2 linked regions of the Arabidopsis thaliana genome follow. The protein of the gene in region 1 interacts with the protein of each later gene in a pairwise test. Each region holds a gene or a part of one and is shown in the gene's direction. Other genes may lie near its edges.

Region 1 (5,550 bases):
GATAATGGACGTTAGCAGGATAAACCTGGAATTTATTCGTTCATATATACTTTTTTGTTTGTTTGTTTATCTGTTTTATGCATGTATTTGAGAAGATTCAATGTAAAAAAAAAGGAATGGATTGTGTGGTAAAGAAGAAGAAGAAGAAGAAGATATATAGATGAAGATATGTGAAGTCCTATGTAATTGTCACAGTGCTTGGTTGTAATAAGAGGTTTCTTCCTTTTGGTGCCTTGCAAAATTGAGATCCTGATAAGATTCCTTGACAAGAAAAGGTAGAGTTGATAAGGAGAAAAGGAAACATAACATACGTACCAATAATTATTCACTTTGGCTTTTTGTGGTAATAGCTATGCGACTTTTTTCAATGGCTAAACAGACTTTTTTGGACACTTACAGAAGAAAAGAGAATAAGATGGGAGATACTTTAGGATCTCATAGATCAACCGAGAGAAATAAATGAAGTTGTCATTTTCATTATTTCATATCTTTCTCAAAAGTCGACACCTATCGATGAGTAAACTTTTTTGCTAGCATCGTTTGCTATGTGGCTACGAAAGTAAAAAAAATGGATGTGTTCATGAAGCTACGATTAGTCCAATCTTTTAGTGGGAAGCGAAAGTAAGGTGCAATTAATGTAAGAAATTCATGATATTGCTACAGCGAAATTGTCTTGTTCCAAACTTCCAAGCTTAGCACATCGTCTGATCTCTCAATTTTTTCTTTTGTCTTATTTTGCTTTAAAAGTGCAGTATTTTAAAAATTGTCATTTGCTAGTTCCTAGTATTGTCATAATCTTTGTTGTTGAAATTGTTCAATTATTAGCCAACACTAGAATATTATTATATGTTTTTAAGTAAATTTCAAGATTGGGATACCATTTGTGGACCGAAAGCAACAACACAGTTGCGCTAGCAGTGTCACTAAGGAAGGCCGACATCAATCATATATCGCAAGAGACGGACCTTACTGGCTTCGTTATGTATTCTCTTCGGAATTTATCCTCGTTGTTCTTGGCCATGAATATTTTCTTCCAAGTTTTTTTTGGTCTCTCCAAAGTCCAAACCATCTCTCCCGCATATATTAAGGTTAAGATGATTTTTAAAAAGGAGATAACAAATTTTATAATTGGAATTATTATCTTAGTCGGGTCAACGAAAAACTAGTGAGCAGCCAGGAATGTTGAAATATAAGATATGGGAAGAAAAGTAAAATGACTATGAAATAATAAAGTGTGACTTGTATAACGATTATCAAAACATAATACACAGTAACTTTTTGAATCTCAGGCCATCTTGTGCATATTCCTTAAAATTCTTACGATATTGAGATTGATTTTTTTGGTGGTATGGTATCCATAGAGTGACTTGTATATCTATTTCTTTTCTTGCCAAAAAATTGTTCAATAAATCTATTTTATGTAGTCACTAATCAGTAATCACTGCTGTCAAAAATAAAATAAAATGTAATCACTAATCAGTAATCACTGCTGTCAAAAATAAAATAAAATGTAATCACTAATCAGTAATCATATAGTACGTTATCTTTCTATGAAAGTAACATTGTTTCATTCGTGTACTTTCTAGATTGGTCTCACCACACAAAAATAATGCTGTTTTGGAAAGAAAAGAATCATAAAATCTCATCGCCTTAACATCCTTTACATTATAATTCGTATTCACTAAACTAATTAAATAATAAAATTAATATCTGAAATAAAATTAAAACTAAAGAAATTGATAAATTTCCAAATAAATATCAGTTTCTAGTAAAAGTAAACAATAAACAGTGAAAATTGAAACTTGTCTTGATTCGGAAAGATTCTTTTCAGACAACAGATAGACCCAAGAAGTTGCCTGATCGACTTATATTTCTGAGTGAAATTTAAAAGAAAAGAAAAGAGACAAGGGCATATTCTTTTATATTATCTCTGTAGAGAGAGTAAAAACAATTAATTAGTTCTTATCTTTCATCTGCTTCATCATCTTCTTTCTAGTCTCTCTCTCTCTCTTCACCGCGTACACAGTAACACAGACCCTTTTTCCCTCTTACTCAAGGTTCTTCTTTGTCATCTTGTTGCCGAATCCACAAAGAGGTACGCTTTCTTCTCTGAAATCTCCCTGCTTTGTAATTTTTACTCTCTTCTCTTCTCATCTTCTTCAGTGCTCTGCTTTTTTGGTTTTGGTGATTGATCAGGAGAATAAAGATTCGACCTTTATTAGATATTAACGACTCTGGATTTTTGGGTTTTTGGAGTTGGATCCACATGGGTTCTTATCCGGATGGATTCCCTGGATCCATGGACGAGTTGGATTTCAATAAGGACTTTGATTTGCCTCCCTCCTCAAACCAAACCTTAGGTTTAGCTAATGGGTTCTATTTAGATGACTTAGATTTCTCATCCTTGGATCCTCCAGAGGCATATCCCTCCCAGAACAACAACAACAACAACATCAACAACAAAGCTGTAGCAGGAGATCTGTTATCATCTTCATCTGATGACGCTGATTTCTCTGATTCTGTTTTGAAGTATATAAGCCAAGTTCTTATGGAAGAGGATATGGAAGAGAAGCCTTGTATGTTTCATGACGCTTTGGCTCTTCAAGCTGCTGAGAAATCTCTCTATGAGGCTCTTGGTGAGAAATACCCTTCTTCGTCTTCTGCTTCTTCTGTGGATCATCCTGAGAGATTGGCTAGTGATAGCCCTGACGGTTCTTGTTCAGGTGGTGCTTTTAGTGATTACGCTAGCACCACTACCACTACTTCCTCTGATTCTCACTGGAGTGTTGATGGTTTGGAGAATAGACCTTCTTGGTTACATACACCTATGCCGAGTAATTTTGTTTTCCAGTCTACTTCTAGGTCCAACAGTGTCACCGGTGGTGGTGGTGGTGGTAATAGTGCGGTTTACGGTTCAGGTTTTGGCGATGATTTGGTTTCGAATATGTTTAAAGATGATGAATTGGCTATGCAGTTCAAGAAAGGGGTTGAGGAAGCTAGTAAGTTCCTTCCTAAGTCTTCTCAGCTCTTTATTGATGTGGATAGTTACATCCCTATGAATTCTGGTTCCAAGGAAAATGGTTCTGAGGTTTTTGTTAAGACGGAGAAGAAAGATGAGACAGAGCATCATCATCATCATAGCTATGCTCCTCCTCCCAACAGATTAACTGGTAAGAAAAGCCATTGGCGCGACGAAGATGAAGATTTCGTTGAAGAAAGAAGTAACAAGCAATCAGCTGTTTATGTTGAGGAAAGCGAGCTTTCTGAAATGTTTGATAAGATCTTGGTATGTGGCCCTGGGAAACCTGTATGCATTCTTAACCAGAACTTTCCTACAGAATCCGCTAAAGTCGTGACCGCACAGTCAAATGGAGCAAAGATTCGTGGGAAGAAATCAACTTCTACTAGTCATAGTAACGATTCTAAGAAAGAAACTGCTGATTTGAGGACTCTTTTGGTGTTATGTGCACAAGCTGTATCAGTGGATGATCGTAGAACCGCCAACGAAATGCTAAGGCAGATACGAGAGCATTCTTCGCCTCTAGGCAATGGTTCAGAGCGGTTGGCTCATTATTTTGCAAATAGTCTTGAAGCACGCTTAGCTGGGACCGGTACACAGATCTACACCGCTTTATCTTCGAAGAAAACGTCTGCAGCAGACATGTTGAAGGCTTACCAGACATACATGTCGGTCTGCCCTTTCAAGAAAGCTGCTATCATATTTGCTAACCACAGCATGATGCGTTTCACTGCAAACGCCAACACGATCCACATAATAGATTTCGGAATATCTTACGGTTTTCAGTGGCCTGCTCTGATTCATCGCCTCTCGCTCAGCAGACCTGGTGGTTCGCCTAAGCTTCGAATTACCGGTATAGAGCTTCCTCAGCGCGGTTTTAGACCAGCGGAAGGAGTTCAGGAGACAGGTCATCGCTTGGCTCGATACTGTCAGCGACACAATGTTCCGTTTGAGTACAACGCAATTGCTCAGAAATGGGAAACGATCCAAGTCGAAGACTTAAAGCTTCGACAAGGAGAGTATGTGGTTGTGAACTCTTTGTTCCGTTTCAGGAACCTTCTAGATGAGACCGTTCTGGTAAACAGCCCGAGAGATGCAGTTTTGAAGCTGATAAGAAAAATAAACCCGAATGTCTTCATTCCAGCGATCTTAAGCGGGAATTACAACGCGCCATTCTTTGTCACGAGGTTCAGAGAAGCGTTGTTTCATTACTCGGCTGTGTTTGATATGTGTGACTCGAAGCTAGCTAGGGAAGACGAGATGAGGCTGATGTATGAGAAAGAGTTTTATGGGAGAGAGATTGTGAATGTTGTGGCTTGTGAAGGAACAGAGAGAGTGGAGAGACCAGAGACATATAAGCAGTGGCAGGCGAGACTGATCCGAGCCGGATTTAGACAGCTTCCGCTTGAGAAGGAACTGATGCAGAATCTGAAGTTGAAAATCGAAAACGGGTACGATAAAAACTTCGATGTTGATCAAAACGGTAACTGGTTACTTCAAGGGTGGAAAGGTAGAATCGTGTATGCTTCATCTCTATGGGTTCCTTCGTCTTCATAGATGTTGTTTCTTACGTTCTAAGCGACTGGGATTTATGTAGGGCTTTTCTGTTGATAGTCTCTCGCCAACACGAGTGGATTAAGTTCAGAGTTAGGGTTCTTGAACACTAGAATGTTGTTATATTATGCTTGTGACATAGCGTGTGTAAGAGTGTAGCCTAAGAGATATAGTACTCATTGCATGATCTTTTGCTATATGTTCATGTAATCTTTTGTTGCATAAATAATGAAAAGTTACATTTTTTTCAGTGTCTTGTTTATACAGTTCTATTGCAGAGTGTGACATCTCGTCATCTCGTACTACAAAACACACCGAAAAGTAGATAATCATGTACTAGGACGACATAATCAGAAATAATAATGAAAACTTTAAAACCTGGAAAGTGAAAACCCCTATGAAAGCCTACTAGTACTAATCAGAAGTATTACATCATTTTAACTAAAGTCTTACAATTATTGATTGAACAACAAACAACAAACAACAAACAATAATTTCAAAATCAAACAAATAATCCATCCAATAAACTTTCCTAACTATTATATCCAGGATTTGTTTATAACGCCGAAAGAGTTGAATATTTATTTGGAGACAGAAAAATATAGTTACTCAAAAACGTGACACCCACTCAATTTCGAGTTTTTCTGACATAAAAGTATTTCTTCATGTACTAGTACAATAATACGTGGTGAGAATCTCACAATATATGTCAGAATGGCATTGTGGGATCAGATCTGGAGGGGTCCTTTTCACTTTCTTGTGTTTATTTATTGTCGCTGTTCTATATAATTATTACGATGAAGTCACTTTATGTTATCATATTTCGTTTGTTTGTTGATATAGTATTCATCAGCTAACATCAACTATTTTTTAAATAATTCGTACTGGTCAAATAATCAACTCCACCTATCAGGAACCTTTAATAATCTTGCTCTCCAAGTTTTACATATGATTTTTTGTCAACTTGAAACTGTTGG
Region 2 (4,659 bases), on another chromosome or scaffold:
TGCAGAGACGACAAATGAGAAAGAGTTAAGAGATTTTTATTTTACCATTCTCATAAACAAGACCAGAGAAAGAAGAGCAGCCAGGTCCTCCAGTTAACCAGACAAGAAGAGGGTCTTCTTCTGGATTGTTCTCAGATTTGATGAAGTAGTAGAACAGTTGATCTTCCTCTTTTTGACCAACACCAATATACCTTCATTATGTAACTCTAAAACTCAGAACACAGCGTCATACATACATTATAGGGGTAATATGGAAATGAAAATGCAGAGGAAAAGAACCCGGTTTCGAGCTCGAATGGAAGAGGGCCTTCAAAACCAGGAAGATATCTGATGATAGAACTTGAATCAGCATGTTGAATCAACACAAGCACACATTGCAGCAGCAGCAGCAACTTGAATATCCAGGAAGCCATTCTTGTTTTAGTTTTTGAGTTTTAACATTTTTTATATATACTCAAAACTCAAAAGCAGAGGCGTTGACCCAAAACAAAGATGGAATCTTTTCGGTTGAGTATGGTTCTATAAACCGGTCAATTGCAATATCTATACCCGAGACAATTCGGGTTAGTCTCTCTAACCAGTTCCAATTAATCTGTTTAGTTTTCCTTTGGATGTAAAGGTGTTTAGAGTTTGTTTTCTCCTTCAATTACCAACTGCCAACTGGTTAACGAATTGAAATTGAGGGTTTGAGCTGAAAACACTTGGGCACTTGACGTGAGAATGTACGTGGAAGGCCAGAAGGGACAAAGTCCCATGTAAAATGCTTTGCAGGTTATTTTATTGCACATGACATAGGACAAATTATTGTTTAATGATTTCAGCATTGCCTAGAAAACCGGACCGGTTGACAGTTTGAACCGGTTCAATAAATTTGTATGGGGTAATATTTGTAAAGCTAAGACTATAGAGTTCGTTAGGGGTAACAAGAATAGTATGGGGGGTTAGTTTGCAAATTCCCGTTAAATTTGTCGATGTTTCTTTTTGGGATGGTGGGTTTGTAGACAAATCGACGTCTCAGAGATTGTAATTACGGATCGTGTCTCTGCTGCTTCTTCTTCTTTCAATCCGATTTCGGACAACCTTTTACTCAGACAGGAGATTTCAGTTTTTTTCAGGTGAGCTTCTTGCTTTCTGCAACTCAAGCTCTTTTGTTTTTTGGGTTTTGTTTCTTTCCTTTTTCTTTTCTTTTTCTTTTGTTTGAAGTTTCCTCCTTCTTTGTTTTACTTTAGTCATTGGAAAGCTTACTTTTTCTCACTTTGTGATTTGCCTTTGGAAATTAAGACTTAGTTGACTTTCAGAAGCTTATAAAGTTTCAAGTTTTTTTTGTTCATTTGATGACGTTTTCAGCAACCAAATTCCATCGAATTATCTTGATGAATCCTTATGGATTTCAAATGTTAGTATGCTTTGAATTTCATGTGTCTGTTGAATTCTGTTAAGAGTCATAGATTTTGAATCCTTGGTGATGAGTTATTGGTTTGAGTGATCAGCTGCTATAAGCTTAGTTCTCGCTTGTGTTATAAGCTTAGTTCTCGCTTGTGTTAGATTTTGAATCCGCTGTTTTGTTTCAGTCCATGTTAGTACTTGAACCGTTGTCTTGCAGTGTGACTTAAGCTGGTTTCCGTGAGCCAATAACTTGATACTTGTGAGTGTGCCCAAATTCCAAACTGATGCAGTTCTCTCTCTCTGCTATCTGTTAATTTCTTTCATAATCATCTTTTCTCTTTCCTCTTGGCAGCTTTTCCTCCCTCTAGTGTGAAACTCTGCACCAGAGGTGAAAGGTTATCATTGCAAAAGGGAGCACAAGTGGATAGTGTTTGCTCAAGTATTAGTACAGAAACTAGTATGGCTGATACCAGTTCAAGGACTGATGTCTCAACTGATGGTGACACAGATCATAGAGATCTGGGGGTTAGCTCGTAATCTGGCTCTAATCATTTTATAGTTTTATTATCTCTACAATGTCACTCCTGGGAGGCTTGTACCGGAATCCCTTGGTAAAACTTGGGGCATTCTACCGGTATAGCCAAATCCACAGGACTAGTCATTTGCTTATGTTCATCAAACATGCATAGTTTGAATGAAACAGTAATTCCTGATGTTGATTACATGCAGTCTGATAGAGGGCATATGCATGCTGCTGCCTCTGATTCCAGTGATCGATCAAAGGATAAGTTGGATCAAAAGGTGATAGATTCATCTCTGTGGATCAACTAGCATCTGTGTATATTACGCATATGCATAATCTGTTTTGTTTCCTTTTCGTTTTGATCCATAGACCCTTCGTAGGCTTGCTCAAAATCGTGAGGCAGCAAGAAAAAGCAGATTGAGGAAGAAGGTATGTATATTTTGCTTTTGTTCTTGTTTTGATTTTTCTTATATATTCCTCTTATTTCCTTGTAATATCTCTAGAAGAATATCTATCTGTCATTACCTTAAGCATGTTATTGTTTCCTCCATAGGCGTATGTTCAGCAGCTGGAGAATAGTCGATTAAAGCTGACTCAACTTGAGCAGGAGCTGCAAAGAGCAAGACAGCAGGTTTATTAACTTTCTTATTTGTTTTGATTCTGATATGTATGTCTTTATAAAGAAGATAAAAGGCTGAAGCTACTTCAACTTATAACTAACAGTCAGTTACGAGTTAGTACTAGTCTTGGGTTAGCTGAAGTAGAGGAGGTAACAGAATTATGGGTCATCCATAGTTTAGTTGGGTAAAAGTAGCTGGTAACTCTCTCGAAATAGGTCCTTCTGGTCTGTTTATTCGGATGTTGATGGCATACAGAGAATTTCTATTCTGGTTCTTATCAGATTCTTTGTCATGACTCATGACAGTGTATTTGTCACTTAAGGATATATATTTTTCAATTTTAGGGAGTTTTCATCTCAAGTTCAGGAGACCAAGCTCATTCTACTGGTGGCAATGGTGGGTTGTTTCTTCTCTGTTAGTTTTGAGATTGATCCTTTTGATTTGAAATTTCTATGTGAGATAAGTGCATATATACATATATGTTGATGAATTGGTGATAGCATAAGTCATCTCATGGCAATATGCTTACACTTGTTAGAGTTAATGGTTTCAAGAGTCAGTGATGATCTGGATGGGAAATTAAAGTCATGGTGATGTCAAAACTGAAGTTTCTTATAGTTTGCGCTGGTGTTAGCTTAGGTCTGCAAGGGTTTGTTCTTGATCTAGTATACTTGCCTTTCTGCAGGGGCTTTGGCATTTGATGCAGAACACTCACGATGGCTTGAAGAAAAGAACAGGCAAATGAACGAGCTGAGATCTGCCCTGAATGCTCATGCAGGTGATACTGAGCTCCGGATAATTGTGGATGGAGTGATGGCTCACTATGAGGAGCTTTTCAGGATTAAGAGCAATGCAGCTAAGAATGATGTCTTCCACTTGTTATCTGGAATGTGGAAAACACCAGCTGAGCGATGTTTCTTGTGGCTTGGCGGGTTCCGCTCATCCGAACTTCTCAAGGTAAGCTCTTTCCAAGTCCATAGAGAGATTTTGATGAACAGCCAACTTAATGAGTCGCAGTGTTTTCACAACAGCTTCTTGCGAATCAGCTAGAGCCCATGACAGAACGACAGGTAATGGGCATCAATAGCTTGCAGCAGACGTCGCAGCAGGCAGAAGATGCTTTATCTCAAGGGATGGAGAGTTTACAGCAATCCCTAGCTGATACTTTATCCAGTGGAACTCTTGGTTCCAGTTCATCGGATAATGTCGCGAGCTACATGGGTCAGATGGCCATGGCAATGGGGCAGTTAGGCACCCTCGAAGGATTCATACGCCAGGTACTTTAGAAATGTGGATGTTATCGAGATATACCATATCTTTTCATCGTCACAAAGAGATAAATATTTTATTTTATATATGAATCCGTCTGTTATGGAGTTCATAGGGCATTTCTTGGTGGCAGGCTGATAACTTGAGGCTGCAAACACTACAACAGATGCTTCGAGTATTAACAACACGTCAGTCAGCTCGTGCTCTTCTTGCTATACACGATTATTCATCTCGATTACGTGCTCTTAGTTCCTTGTGGCTTGCCCGGCCAAGAGAGTGAAACAGAAGAATAGTGCTCTACTCAGCAGTCAGCCCTATACATAATCTTATGACTCAGATCGGCAGGGATACTCCTTCCAAGAGATCGATCACAAAGCAAGGCATTCTCAGATTCTTACCAAAAGCAATATTTTGGGAAAGAAGACTGCAGGTTTTGAAATTGGTTTCCTGAGGTCCGCAAGACTCGAGTGTTGTGTGTGTTGTAATTTTTAGCCATCAGGTTGCATAGTTTTATAGAGTGAATGTTTATAGGTCTTTGAATATTCAAAGCGGATAGGTGATCAGTGTAAGGTCGCAATTACCAACATGACAGAAGATGGGATCCTTTCAGGAACTTGGATTGTATGATCATAAACTCCAGCAGACCAAATCAATTTATATTGAGAGTTCAAAAAAGAGAGCAGATTGTGTATCTTGAAATCATAGCAAGATTGCCCAGTAAACACTGTCACACATAAAGCTTACAGAGGTTTGGCTAATACTATGTATAACCAACCTGAGTCAGAGAAAATACTCATACAAATGAAAAGATCTAATTATTTCCAGGAAGAAGACTTCTTCCAAATGTCGAGAATACAATAC

What was found.
Region 2: the proteins of SCL14 (region 1) and TGA6 interact in binary tests that used the Arabidopsis thaliana proteins (3 or more experiments, as listed by UniProt).

What each region holds. Positions count from the first base shown.
Region 1 is NC_003070.9:2,312,854-2,318,403, reverse strand, and holds SCL14 (SCARECROW-like 14), read left to right. Parts: upstream 1-1,896; 5' UTR 1,897-2,095; intron 2,096-2,196; 5' UTR 2,197-2,266; coding exon 2,267-4,576; 3' UTR 4,577-4,823; downstream 4,824-5,550. UniProt on the Arabidopsis thaliana protein: Probable transcription factor involved in plant development.
Region 2 is NC_003074.8:3,904,506-3,909,164, forward strand, and holds TGA6 (TGACG motif-binding factor 6), read left to right. Parts: upstream 1-1,845; coding exon 1,846-1,911; exon of another isoform or gene 1,912-1,945; coding exon 1,946-2,020; exon of another isoform or gene 2,021-2,067; coding exon of another isoform or gene 2,068-2,115; coding exon 2,116-2,187; intron 2,188-2,278; coding exon 2,279-2,338; intron 2,339-2,462; coding exon 2,463-2,540; intron 2,541-2,873; coding exon 2,874-2,925; exon of another isoform or gene 2,926-3,174; intron 3,175-3,214; coding exon 3,215-3,486; exon of another isoform or gene 3,487-3,560; coding exon 3,561-3,806; intron 3,807-3,931; coding exon 3,932-4,078; downstream 4,079-4,659. Other genes in the region: SCPL15 (serine carboxypeptidase-like 15), read right to left, coding at 46-191, 280-413.